Tamandua tetradactyla: one gene and its partners. The protein of the gene in region 3 binds, or shares a complex with, the protein of the main gene of each other region. Links are inferred from orthologs where the notes say so. Each region holds a gene or a part of one and is shown on either strand. Other genes may lie near its edges.

The links. Proteins that work in one complex are often made in the same cells at the same time.
Region 1: CASP8 (region 3) and MEFV share a complex: the UniProt entries of both Homo sapiens proteins name them as parts of the AIM2 PANoptosome complex. The link is inferred for Tamandua tetradactyla from reciprocal best matches to the Homo sapiens genes CASP8 and MEFV.
Region 2: CASP8 (region 3) and AIM2 share a complex: the UniProt entries of both Homo sapiens proteins name them as parts of the AIM2 PANoptosome complex. The link is inferred for Tamandua tetradactyla from reciprocal best matches to the Homo sapiens genes CASP8 and AIM2.

What each region holds. Positions count from the first base shown.
Region 1 is NC_135349.1:54,087,221-54,090,970, reverse strand, and holds the start of MEFV (pyrin), read right to left. Parts: upstream 2,629-3,750; 5' UTR 1,057-2,628; coding exon 741-1,056; intron 1-740. UniProt on the Homo sapiens protein: Involved in the regulation of innate immunity and the inflammatory response in response to IFNG/IFN-gamma.
Region 2 is NC_135330.1:12,188,352-12,192,101, forward strand, and holds the start of AIM2 (interferon-inducible protein AIM2), read right to left. Parts: upstream 2,326-3,750; 5' UTR 1,677-2,325; intron 1-1,676. UniProt on the Homo sapiens protein: Sensor component of the AIM2 inflammasome, which mediates inflammasome activation in response to the presence of double-stranded DNA (dsDNA) in the cytosol, leading to subsequent pyroptosis.
Region 3 is NC_135329.1:175,796,776-175,800,525, forward strand, and holds the start of CASP8 (caspase-8), read left to right. Parts: upstream 1-1,262; 5' UTR 1,263-1,333; exon of another isoform or gene 1,334-1,658; intron 1,659-3,750. UniProt on the Homo sapiens protein: Thiol protease that plays a key role in programmed cell death by acting as a molecular switch for apoptosis, necroptosis and pyroptosis, and is required to prevent tissue damage during embryonic development and adulthood.

The sequences.
Region 1 (3,750 bases), on a different chromosome or scaffold from region 3:
TAGGCTTAAAACCTAGAAAAAGAAAAATTCAAACACCAAAGGTTTTAACTGACCTGGTATTAGGCCCCAAGAAAATCTCAAAAAAAAAAAAAACCTTTAATGGCAGATGTGAATGGCTTTAATCCCAATGAAATAAAATTAGAAAGGTACAACAAAAGGGTGTAGAACAAGGTGGAGAAAGAGAGAAACGAAAATATAGAAGAAGGGAGGGAGGGAGGGAAAGAAAGAAAAGAAAAGAGGGAAGGAAGGAAAGAAAGAAGGGAAGAGGAAAGAAAGGAGGGAGGGGGGAAGACAGGGAGAAAGGAACGAAAAAAGGAAGGGGTGAAGAATTAAGAAATCCTCTTAGAATTTATAAAGACCCTTTTAAAGGGTGTTAAAGAACTCAAAGCTGAAACGAGGCGGCCAACAGTGAGCAGATCACATCCCAACCCCTGACAACAGGCTTGGTTAGCAAGCCCTTTTTGCTACCTGGAGGTGACTTGTCTGCACACGTGTTAAATCGCAAGTCAAGGGACGATTTCTCAGCCTCCAGAGTCCTGGCCAGGAGGAGCCTCAGGCTCTTTACCAACCCAGGTCCCAGGACCCAGGAGGAGAGAGGGGTTGGCCTGGCCAAGGTCCACCGAGGGTGGGGAGACCTGGGATTTCTATCTCCCGGGTCTGGAGTTTCCAGCGGACCAGCTCCCAGTCCGCCTTCCCAGTTCCCACGGACAGCAGCGGGTGGGGGCTGGGGCCTGCCTTACCCTTCCCCGAGGCCCTGAGGAGCTCCTCGGCCAGGAGGCGCTGGTTGATGGCCCGCAGCACCTGCATGGTCAGCCGCAGAGCGTCCTCCTCCCCGTAGTGGCTGATGAGCAGAGAGGCCACCTTCACAGGCCCGGCCATCTGCAGCAGGCCCCGGGGGATGCGGGGTTGCTCCTTCTCCAGGCTGGTGTTCTGCAGCTTGAACTTGAACTTCTCAAAGTCATAGGGCACCAGGTCCTCCAGGGAGAACAGCAGATGGTCACTGGGGGTCTTGGCCATGGCGTGGACCAAGGAGAGGCCACAGCCGGCCAGGAGCATAAGAGGCCCCTTGTCTGGAGCCCGGTGTCTGAGCAAGAAGAGCCGACTTGAGAAATAACGGAAAAGGCACAGGAAGTGCACCGAGCTTTGGTGGGAACTGAGACTGAAGTCATGGTGTGTCAACACCGGCTGGTGTTCTATGTCTCCAGCTCGGAGGGGGCAGTGTCCTGCAGCCACGCATACCTCCAGGCCCCCCAGCTTTCCCCTCTGCTGCCTAGGCTGCAAAGAGGTGGGCAAGGCGGTGATGGAAGGCCTGGCTGGGTGCCATTCCAGGTTCTTGGTCCTAGGGTGGGCACTCAGATGCTTTGCTCTCTCTTCCTTCCAGGACACAGAGCTGGCGGAGGAGGTGGGGCTGAGAACAGAGCTCCCGGTCCCCCTCTGGCCAGCTGTTCTCCTCCAGACTCTTGGGGTTTCATGGGCCCTCCAGGGCCAAGGGCAAGAGAAGGGACAGCAAATACAGGCCTGCAAGCTTTCCCTGCCCTGTCCAAGAAGGCTGCTGAGGCAGGCAGGACACTGCCAGGAGACGAGCCCTGGTGGCACCTCCGTTGATGCAGTTTCAGCTGTTTGGACCTTCTCACCACGCCAAGGCCTTGAAGTGCAAAGCCTGCGACCACCATCTTGATTTTTTGCTCCTGATTCTGCCTTCACTGGAGGGCAGGGTGGACATTCCCTGGAGCCCCAGGTCACTCTTCCACGCACATCTACCAAACTCAAGTGCCAGGATGCTGGAGTGCGACAGTGAAAACAGACACCGGGTCCTCAAGGGAGTGCAGGCCAGCGTGGAGCCCAGAGGTGGCCCGGACGTCAATGGAAACTCCAGGTGGGGTGGGTTGCTCTTGATTGCCTGCCTCTGTCTTTTTGCACGCCTTGGTTTTTTTACCCAACTTTTTACTTTTAAAAATTATGCAACAACAACAACAAAAATTTCAAAAAAAAAAAAAAACACAAAAATTTCAAAACTACAGAAAAGTTGAAAGCATTATACAATGAACATAACACAACATGTTCTTTACCTGGATTCACCAATTGTTTGCATTTTGCTATATTTGCTGCTTTTTCTTCTCTCTCACACACACACATACACATGCACTTCTTCCCCCCCCAACCATTGGGCAATAGAGAACATTTTCACACATCACTCCAAATGCCCTAAATATTCCCAAGAACTAAGACACAAGGATATTACTTTAAATCCTCATAATACAATTATTACACTCAAGTGTAATATACAATTATAACATTGTTAACAGTACTACAATCAGTCCATAGTCAAATTTTGCCAATTGTACTAATAGTGTCTTTCATAGCTTTTTTTTTCCCAATCCAAGATCCAGTCAAAGACCATGCGTCACATTTAGTTGTCATGTCTCTATAGTCCCCCTTTAGCTAGAATACTTCCACCCTTCCCCAGCCTTCTTTTTTCTTCAAGATATTGATGCAAAGTCCCCTTTGGGGAATGGTGAGAAAGGAGGAAAATTCAACTTCCCCAAGTGAAGAATTCCTGATATTCTCACAAGCAGTGGGGACAACCAAAGCAAAAGGCTGAGCCCTCAATCTTGGGATATGTTCATATGAACCTTAACCCCACAGAGGATAGGCTAAGCCTACTTAAAATTAGGCCAAAGAGTCACCCCCAGAGAACCTCTTCTGTTGCTCAGATGTGGCCTCTCTCTCTCTCTCAGCCAACACGACAAGCAAACTCATTGCCCTCCCCCTCTCTATATAGGACATGACTCCCAGGGGTGTGGATCTTCCTGGCAATGTGGGACAGAAACCCTAGAATAAGCTCGGACTCAGCATTAAGGGATTGAGAAAACATTCTCGACTAAAATGAGGAAGAGAGAAATGAAACAAAATGAAGTGTCAATGGCTGAGAGATTCCAAACAGAGTCGAGAGGTTATACTGGAGGTTATTCTTATGTATTAAATAGACATCACCTTGTTAGTCAAGATGTAATGCAGAGGCCGGAGGGAAGTGCCTGAAAATGTAGGGCTGTGTTCCAGCAGCCATGTTTCTCGAAGATGATTGTATAATGATACAGCTTTTGCAATGTGACTGTGTGAGTGTGAAAACCTTGTGTCTGATGCTCCTTTTATCTATAGTATGGACAGATGAGTAAAACACATGGATTAAAAATAAATAAATAATAGGGGGAACAAATGTTAAATTTAGTAGATTGAAATGCTAGTGATCAATGAAAGGCAATGATAAGGGGTATAGAAAAAAATACGGGAAACACAGGCTAAAATATATTGGATAGATGGAAATACTAGCAATAAATGAGAGGGAGAGGTAAGGGGTATGGTATGTATGAGTTTTTCCTTTTCTCTTTTTCTTTCTTTTTCTGAATTGATGCAAATGTTCTAAGAAATGATCATGGTGATAAATACACCACTATGTGATAATATTGTGAGTTATTGATTATATACCAAGAATGGAATGATCATATGGCAAGAATGTTCCTGTTTGTATGTTGTTACATTGAAAAAAATAAAAGACAAAAAAAAAGATATTGGTGCTTTTGAAAATTCTATTCCAAGAAGAATATCCCTCAAGTGAGATTTATCTGATTTTTTCCTCCTTAGACTGAAGATAATATTCAAGTGTCCTCAAGGTCTTCCCATTATAATATTTTTCTTTGTAATTAATCAATAACCTGAGAATGTATAAATGTCTTGTCCTCCCACAATCTT
Region 2 (3,750 bases), on a different chromosome or scaffold from region 3:
TAAAGAGAATACTTTTCAATTCTTTAGATGGGGAACAGGAGGGGTGGCCATGGATGGACACAGAGAACCTTCTTTTATGGCTCCCTCAAAGGATTTTATCACTACTGCCACAGTTAATCCACCCAAAGAACCATCTTATTATGTTTTAGGTTCTCCATTTCCATTCTACCAAGGGAAGTTCTGAACTCTCCTCGGATCTAATGCCTATCACTCATGTGAAGTTGTGAAGAAGTCTTCCGAGACTTTAACGAGTTTATTCTCCCAGAAGGAGATTATAGGTAATAGTACAATTATAGTATTATTCTTTCATCAGTTATAACAAATGTACCATACTAATGCAAGGTGTTAATAAAAGGTGTTAATGATATGGGAACTCTGTATTTTCTGCAATATTTTTCATGCAACTTTTCTAATAAGAAAATTTTGCTTTAAATCCAGTTCCTATGCTTTTACAGATAACAATCTAAAGCATGAAAATACTGAAAAGTTGAAGAAGAAATAATGGGAAGAGTTACATTATGCAAATACTAACCAAAAGGCAGATAGTATAACTATATTACTATCAATCAAAGAAGACTTTGAGACAAATAGCATCATTAAGGATATCATTTCCTTACAATGATTAAAGATTAAGTTTACCAAAACAATATACCAATTCGAAACATGTAGGTACCTAACAAAATAGACTCAACAGATACAAACAATAATTGATAAACCTTCAGGAATAAATTGACAAATACACCATGATGATGGGAGATTATAGCAAATTTCTATCAATAAATTATAGCTCAAGTATCAAAAAAATCCGCAAAAATATAAAAGAGCTGAATAGCACAATTAACAATTTTGATCTGATGGAACACTTAGAAATATTTATTATATATTCAAAAGAACTATAAAAGATGCCTTGGCAAATTTCAAAGAATAGTTATAATATGAAAATAACTGGTTTCCCAAACTCCAGGAATTTAGCCATGACTGTGGGAAAACTGGGGTCCAACCTTAAATGGACTGAAATACATTTTCTGACCTCTAACAGACTAGAGGAAATAGAAATTACTGTGTAACAGAAAAATGTTATAAATCCACACTCCTTGCATATCTGAGTTTGTGGAATGAGAGTTTATCTGCTGTGGGTTTTTTTTTTTTTTAATTGCAAGAACTCTGTAAAATACAATTTTGTGCTCTGATGTTTTTAACCAAATATCACAGAATAGGCCTTTTGACACGCCATTGTTCTTGTATTTTTTCCAGGAATCGCTCCCCAGATCCTAAGTTTCTCTCTCTCCTTCATAAGCCAGATATCAAAAGCCCTCTTCTAAACATAAACTCATGTCAATAAGCAACCTGGAGGTCAACACACCCAGAAAACCAGAATTCCTCTTAGGCTCATTCTGGGTCAAGTCCTTGAACAATTTATTCCAACACTTGCTGCGGCCAAATGCATTTCCTTTTATTAAAGTTTTATTTCACCTTATGGTGAAATAAAACATGGCATCTGTTCCTCAGTCAACTGAAGGTTTAAGATCAGATTGCCTACAGCTCTTCTTTTTTGGATATAGTAAATACTAGCCTTTCTTCCCACCACAAAAACCCATAATCACTATTTCTCTTGATGTTCAGATTAGCAACTGATTCCCCTGAGATTTCTGTAGAAAATTTCCCAGGGGCCTTACCTTACTGGCTCTCTTCCACAACAGCCTAGCTGTGAATTCAGAGTTTCAGGGACGACTGTTAGCTAGAACTAGCTAGAGCTCTTCATTAGTTAGAATGGTGGGCCATGGTAAGAAGAGATTTTGAAAGACAAGGAAAAAGTGCTACTGGCTGTTTCACTTCGAAAGTTAACCAGCTCTTGCATTTAACAATGTGCAGGATTTTAAGGCTCCTCCCATCAAAGTTCTTAACTTTCTGTTTCTTGTCTTAGACAAGTCTGACCAGTTTTCCTCCCAACTTGAAATTTCAGCCAAAGACATTTTAGCATGAAGAAATGAAAGCAAATAGCTCCTTCTCTATTTTGTTTCCTAAATTTTAAGGAAGTTCACAACCTAGAGTACTGGTTCTCACAGTGTGGTCCCCGGGCAGGCAGCATCAGCGTCTCCTGTAAACTTTTAGAAGTGCAAATTTGGAGGCCTTACCTCAGAACTACCGAATCACAAACTCTGAAGATGGCATCCACAAACAGTATTTTAAAAAGCTCTCCAAGGTGATTCTGCTGCACAGTGAAGTTTGAGAACCACTGCTCAAACATTCCTTTTTGTCTTCCATATGGGCCAGTAGATTCCCATAGCCTTGGTTGAGGCTGTTTGTAATTATGGTTAAGTCATGCAGAGAAGTGAGTGAGCTGATAAATCCTGCTAGATAATCGAAGGAGAGGAAGTAACTGGAGGAGATATCGGTGATCATATTAGCATCATGTGTGCTCCATACCTTGGAGCAGGGCAAGGTAGAGCTGAGATAAAGTCTAGATAACCTAACCCAGGGTTTGGCACAAGTTAAGTGTCAGGTCTCCTACAACTATCTCCCACCACAAGTGCTTGTCCTGCATGGTGTCAACCTAAATGTAAAGTAAAAGAAAAGCTGACAGATTGTATTAAGAAATTTAAACTGATATTAAATTCATTCATTTATCTGTCCCTTCATTCAACAGATATTTATTTAGCATTTATGTGCTCAGCTTCATCTCCTGGAAATTTTAAGTAGTTATAGCAGGCTTTCTTAGCTCTCCATTCCTTAAGCAAGAGTTTGGAGGTAGTTATAGTTTTCTTGCAGATGTTTTTTGCCATTGCCTCGGATTGAGTCCTAGCAACTGTAATGAATACAACAGTACTGAAAAATATGAGTTTGCCCTTGGACATTGAGGACTAGTACTTGAACTGCAATATTACTATGGATCGTTTGGGCTGTCTGGTATGCACACGATCTGGAACTCAAATCCCGTAAGAAAAGAGCTCACCATGTCTTGTAGGAACTGAACTCGTCTTGGCCACTATAGTGATCATGCCTCAGGGTTAAGAACGCAGTCCCCATCAAGGCAGACTTTCCACGCAGACTTACAAATAAGCACCTATTATTCCTATCCTGAGTACAGACACTGGCAAAGCCAGCTATCTCAACTCCTCTGGACCCCCATTTTAGGCCCCATTCTAGGGTTCCAGGCAAATTGTAGTTGAACTACATGCATTTTGTATATATAAAATGTATTTTATAAAACTGGGTAGTGCCAAGCTATTCAGTGAGATACTGCTTCTCCAGATGAAACTGAAAGTGTGATTATTCATCTCCTTTCCTAAATCAAGGGATGGTTCTCTGTTTAACATAAAAACATGAAGGATGCAAAAGGTCAGAAGCAACTTTTCAGGCTCAGAACCCCTGATATAAAATGGCCTAGAAGTGAGGAAAAGAAAAAAAATCAAGGCCATGTTCATCTAGCTAGATTTCAGGATCAAGAGGACATTTTGAGCACACGTTTTAATTCCACCCCACCCTTCAAATGCCTCCTTTGTTTCCATCTATTTTATTACAAAATTTAAATCATAAATTTGAAAATAATTTGGGATTCCACAAACCATGCGCATATAATACAGCAAACTTAACTGATAAATGTCATATGTGTTCAGACTGCTCCACTGGCTGGCTGTTCCCCTGTCCCTTTTCCTCTCCTCAGCTCTCCCTATTCCCTGAGACACAACAATATTGAAATAAGACCATTCAATAACCCTACAATGGCTTCTAAGTGTTCAAGTGAAAGGA
Region 3 (3,750 bases):
TAAAGACATATTCTTTATACCTAAAAATAAAATAAATATAGACTATGGGTAGATTTAAATAATTCATATAGTACTGTGGGTGGATCTTCACTTGGATACTATGCTACATGAAAAGTTTAAACTCGGCCATTTTGAATGAAGCTTCCCAGTTGGGCCTTCTGAATAGTCAACTATAAGGCAGAAGTTAAGAATCTGAAGTAGCAACAGTTCGGTAGTGTCGGAGTTTTCAGATGTTTCCAATTCTATGCACACATCTACTTGGATGACATTATTCTAAAGCATTTTGTACAGATCTTTCATTACATGTTTATTTCCTCGTTATTGTTAGAAATGGTCTGTTTTTTCCTAGGCAGTGGCAGTCAACTTCCCCCTCAGTTGTCTGTTTTCCACTGTTGTCTGGTATTCTTCATGGCTTATCTCCACAGGAGGAAAAATTTTTAACAGACCCAAAAGTTAAGATTTTATTCACAAATCTTCTTTGTTGTACAGAAAGTAAAAGTGCTATTACACACTCAGTGTAACCAGTGTAACTGGTTAGGAATCCCCTGCGCAGCTAGCCATGCTACAGCAAAGGCTCACATGAAAACCTCACAACGCTTACAATTTTATTGGGGTGAGACCCCCTGAGCTTGGCAGTAGATTTCTAAGATGGACTGAGGAAGGGGGAATGCCGTAGGAACTATTCTTAGGCTCTTTGAGTGGACGAGTTTTCTAGGGTTTGTATCACAGCTACCTTTAAAAAAAAAAAAAAAAAACAGCTACCGAATCCAAAAGAGTGGTCCAACCAGTACTGAACAGTTCTTTTTTTGCAGGTTATCTGAAGTCTTAATAGTATTCTCCTTCATCGTCTGTTTCTCTCTACGTCTTTTCACCTTTCCCGCTTCTTCCTCTCTTTGTCTTCATCTTCATCCTCACCCCCTTCGCCTTCATCGACTTCTCCATCGTGTCCAGAATCTCCCTCCTCCCCTCCGCTGACTTCATCTTCATCTTCTCCCCCTTCTCCATCTTCATCCTCTCCATCGTCAAACTCTTCGTCCTCGGCCACACCGTCCACCTGGGCATCCGAGTCGGGGCTCCGGGGCCTCCGGTCGCGGCCGTCGGGGTGGGTCAGCGAGCCGGGCCTGAGGCTCCCGCGCAGCCCTTGGGGCCGGGGACCTCCAGCCACAGGCCCCGGCGCCCCAGACAGCCCCGCTGGGTCAAAGCTCCCAAGGTGCTGACAGCTTCTGACCATTTCCGCTTACGTCCAGACGTGTGAGATTCGGAAGTTTTTCCGCTACCATGTGCAGATCTCCCAAGATTCTCCTGTCACTAAGCTCAAGTTTTTTCAGCTGAGGTAGTTTGAGAAAATTTGAAACTGAAGTCAAGGTTATATTTGCCACGCTGAGGCACTCTAAATTCACAAATTCAGCTGCGAAACCCTCAATTTTCCATCGTTTGATTTGCAATTGTCCAGGACAAGTTCTCGAACCGCCGCCGTGTCCGGTTCCTCGGCTCCAGGTGGATCCTCCTCTTCTGGTCCTTGGCTCCTCTTCCCGGCTCGTCAAACTTAACTTTCCGCCGCGGGGGCGAGGGCAGAGCGGCCGGGCCGGCCCGACGAGGCGCGGCGAGGCGAGGCGAGGCGAGGCGAGGCGCAGGGAGGCTGCAGGCGGCGGCCGGGTCTCGGGCCGAGGGGGGAGAGGCGGAGGGGCGGGGGCGGAGGGAGAGGTGGCCGGGTCAGCCCGGCGAGGCGAGGTGCAGGGAGGCTGCAGGCGGCGGCGCGGTCCCGGGCCCAGGGGGGAGAAGCAGCGGCCGGCGCGGCGAGGCGCAGGGGAAGCTGCTGGCGGCGGAGCCCCCGGGTGCCCGGGACCCGTGGGAGCCGAGAGAAACCCAGGAAGGAAAAGGGGCTGGAGCGCGCGCGGCTGGCACTCCCCACAGTAGAAAACTCATTCACTCCGAATAACAGCTTCTCTTAAAGATCTAATGTTGATGCTCAAGGAAGTACCCGGGACTTAATAGGGGCCCTTTAAGAAAGCTTAACTTTCCTGTGGGGGAAGGGCCTTATAATGCATTCAAAACAAACCAAGGAAAACTAGCACTGGTGATCTTTGCAGTATCTCTGGTGATAATGTTTCGGATGTATCTTTTAAAATGAAATCTCATATCTGAGATTTCTATGTAAGTCTCCTTTGCACTGTCCCCAGATGCTTCCAGCAGCTCGGCCAGTTCTGCCAGGCTCTGCCTGCTGGGAGGCAGTAGTGCACAGGGCTCAACAGGTGCCCTGTGGTGGGAAGCTCCTAGGGTCAGGTCCTTGCCCTGCCTCTCAACAGCTGAGTGACTTTGAACTTCCTTTCCTCATCTGTGCAATATCCCGAATAATTAGCACCCACCTTCTAGCTAAAATAACAATAGTAGTGGATAATTATTGAGAACTCTGCAAGTCCAGGCACTATTCTAATTGCTCAAACTGCATATCTCCCATAGCTCCGCTCATGTGGGAGCTCCAGTGCTCCGCGTTTTAAAATCCTCTACATTAAATTCTGAGATCAATAAGGTTGAGAGTCAGGTTCATGTTTGGCAGACTTCATTCTGTCACTCACTAGCTGAATGAGCTTGGCCAAGGGTTTCAACCTCTCTAAACCTCAGTTTCTTCAGCTATAAAATGGAAATAAAAATATTATGCACCTCTGAGAATTGTTTGGCAGTTGCAAAAGAACTATTTAGGTATGTCTGGCACACAAACAGTTTGATCAATGTTAGCTCCTGTCATTATTAAACCAACTCCTTTTTCTCAGGTGACAGAGAACCAGTAATTTCTGACCTTTTTTCCTACATTACTCTATCTTTACTTAGATTTGTTGCTCCTCCGTCCACATGGTTCTTTTCAAATCCTGTGTTGGGGTGGGTGGGACTGGGGGTAGGGGAGTTTGTTACAGCAGAAAAATCCTTGTCTTTAGCCCAGTAGGACTGAGTTGAATCCAGGTGACTATTTGAGCCTCAGTTTTCCCATCCATAACATGGGAGAGCAATCCTCAGTATTGCTGTAACAATTAGAGATAATTCATGTAAAGGGTGCAACATATATATAGTTATTGTAAGAATATCGGTGTTCTGGTTAAAAATATAAAACATGAAAACAGAAAAGGCAGAAACCCCTTTAAAAATTGAAACAGGAAACAGGCAGAGAGTGGGAGAGTGGAGGTTGAAAAAAGCAGAGGAGGGCCTGGGGTTCAGGGCCCTGGGGGACCCACCTCAGTATTACCATCATTCCCAGCTCTGCTGGTCACTGTTGATCCCAAGGGCCCTGGGGATGGGAACTAAAGGGTTGTTGCCCCTAAGGGTTGGACCAGACCTTCCCTTTATTGTGTAAACTCTCTCCACTTTTCAGCCTGAGGCTGCTTTGATTTAAGATAAAACTGAAGGGGTTGGAGGGGCCTAGTCTGTGGCTTCGGTGCTGAGATTTGGATCAGAGCACAAAGGGAAAAATCCTCCCCTAACCCCTTTCAAGAGAGAAGGGCATTTTACTTGCCACGGGCTCAAGCCTGTCTTTGAAAATTACGGGGGTTATTAATACTAAAAGTTGCCAGTGTCATGCTTTTCAATAGAGCAACTTCCAGCTTCCTGGCTGTTTTGTTGTTGTTGTTTGCAAATTAATAATTGTCTGCCATCTCCCTCTTCTGAATAGTTCGATTGAACATTGAACATTTTGCTTCATGGTGAGTTGTTTCTTTCTGCGGTTTCAAAATAAAGTTTACGCTGTTGTTTTTTCTGTTG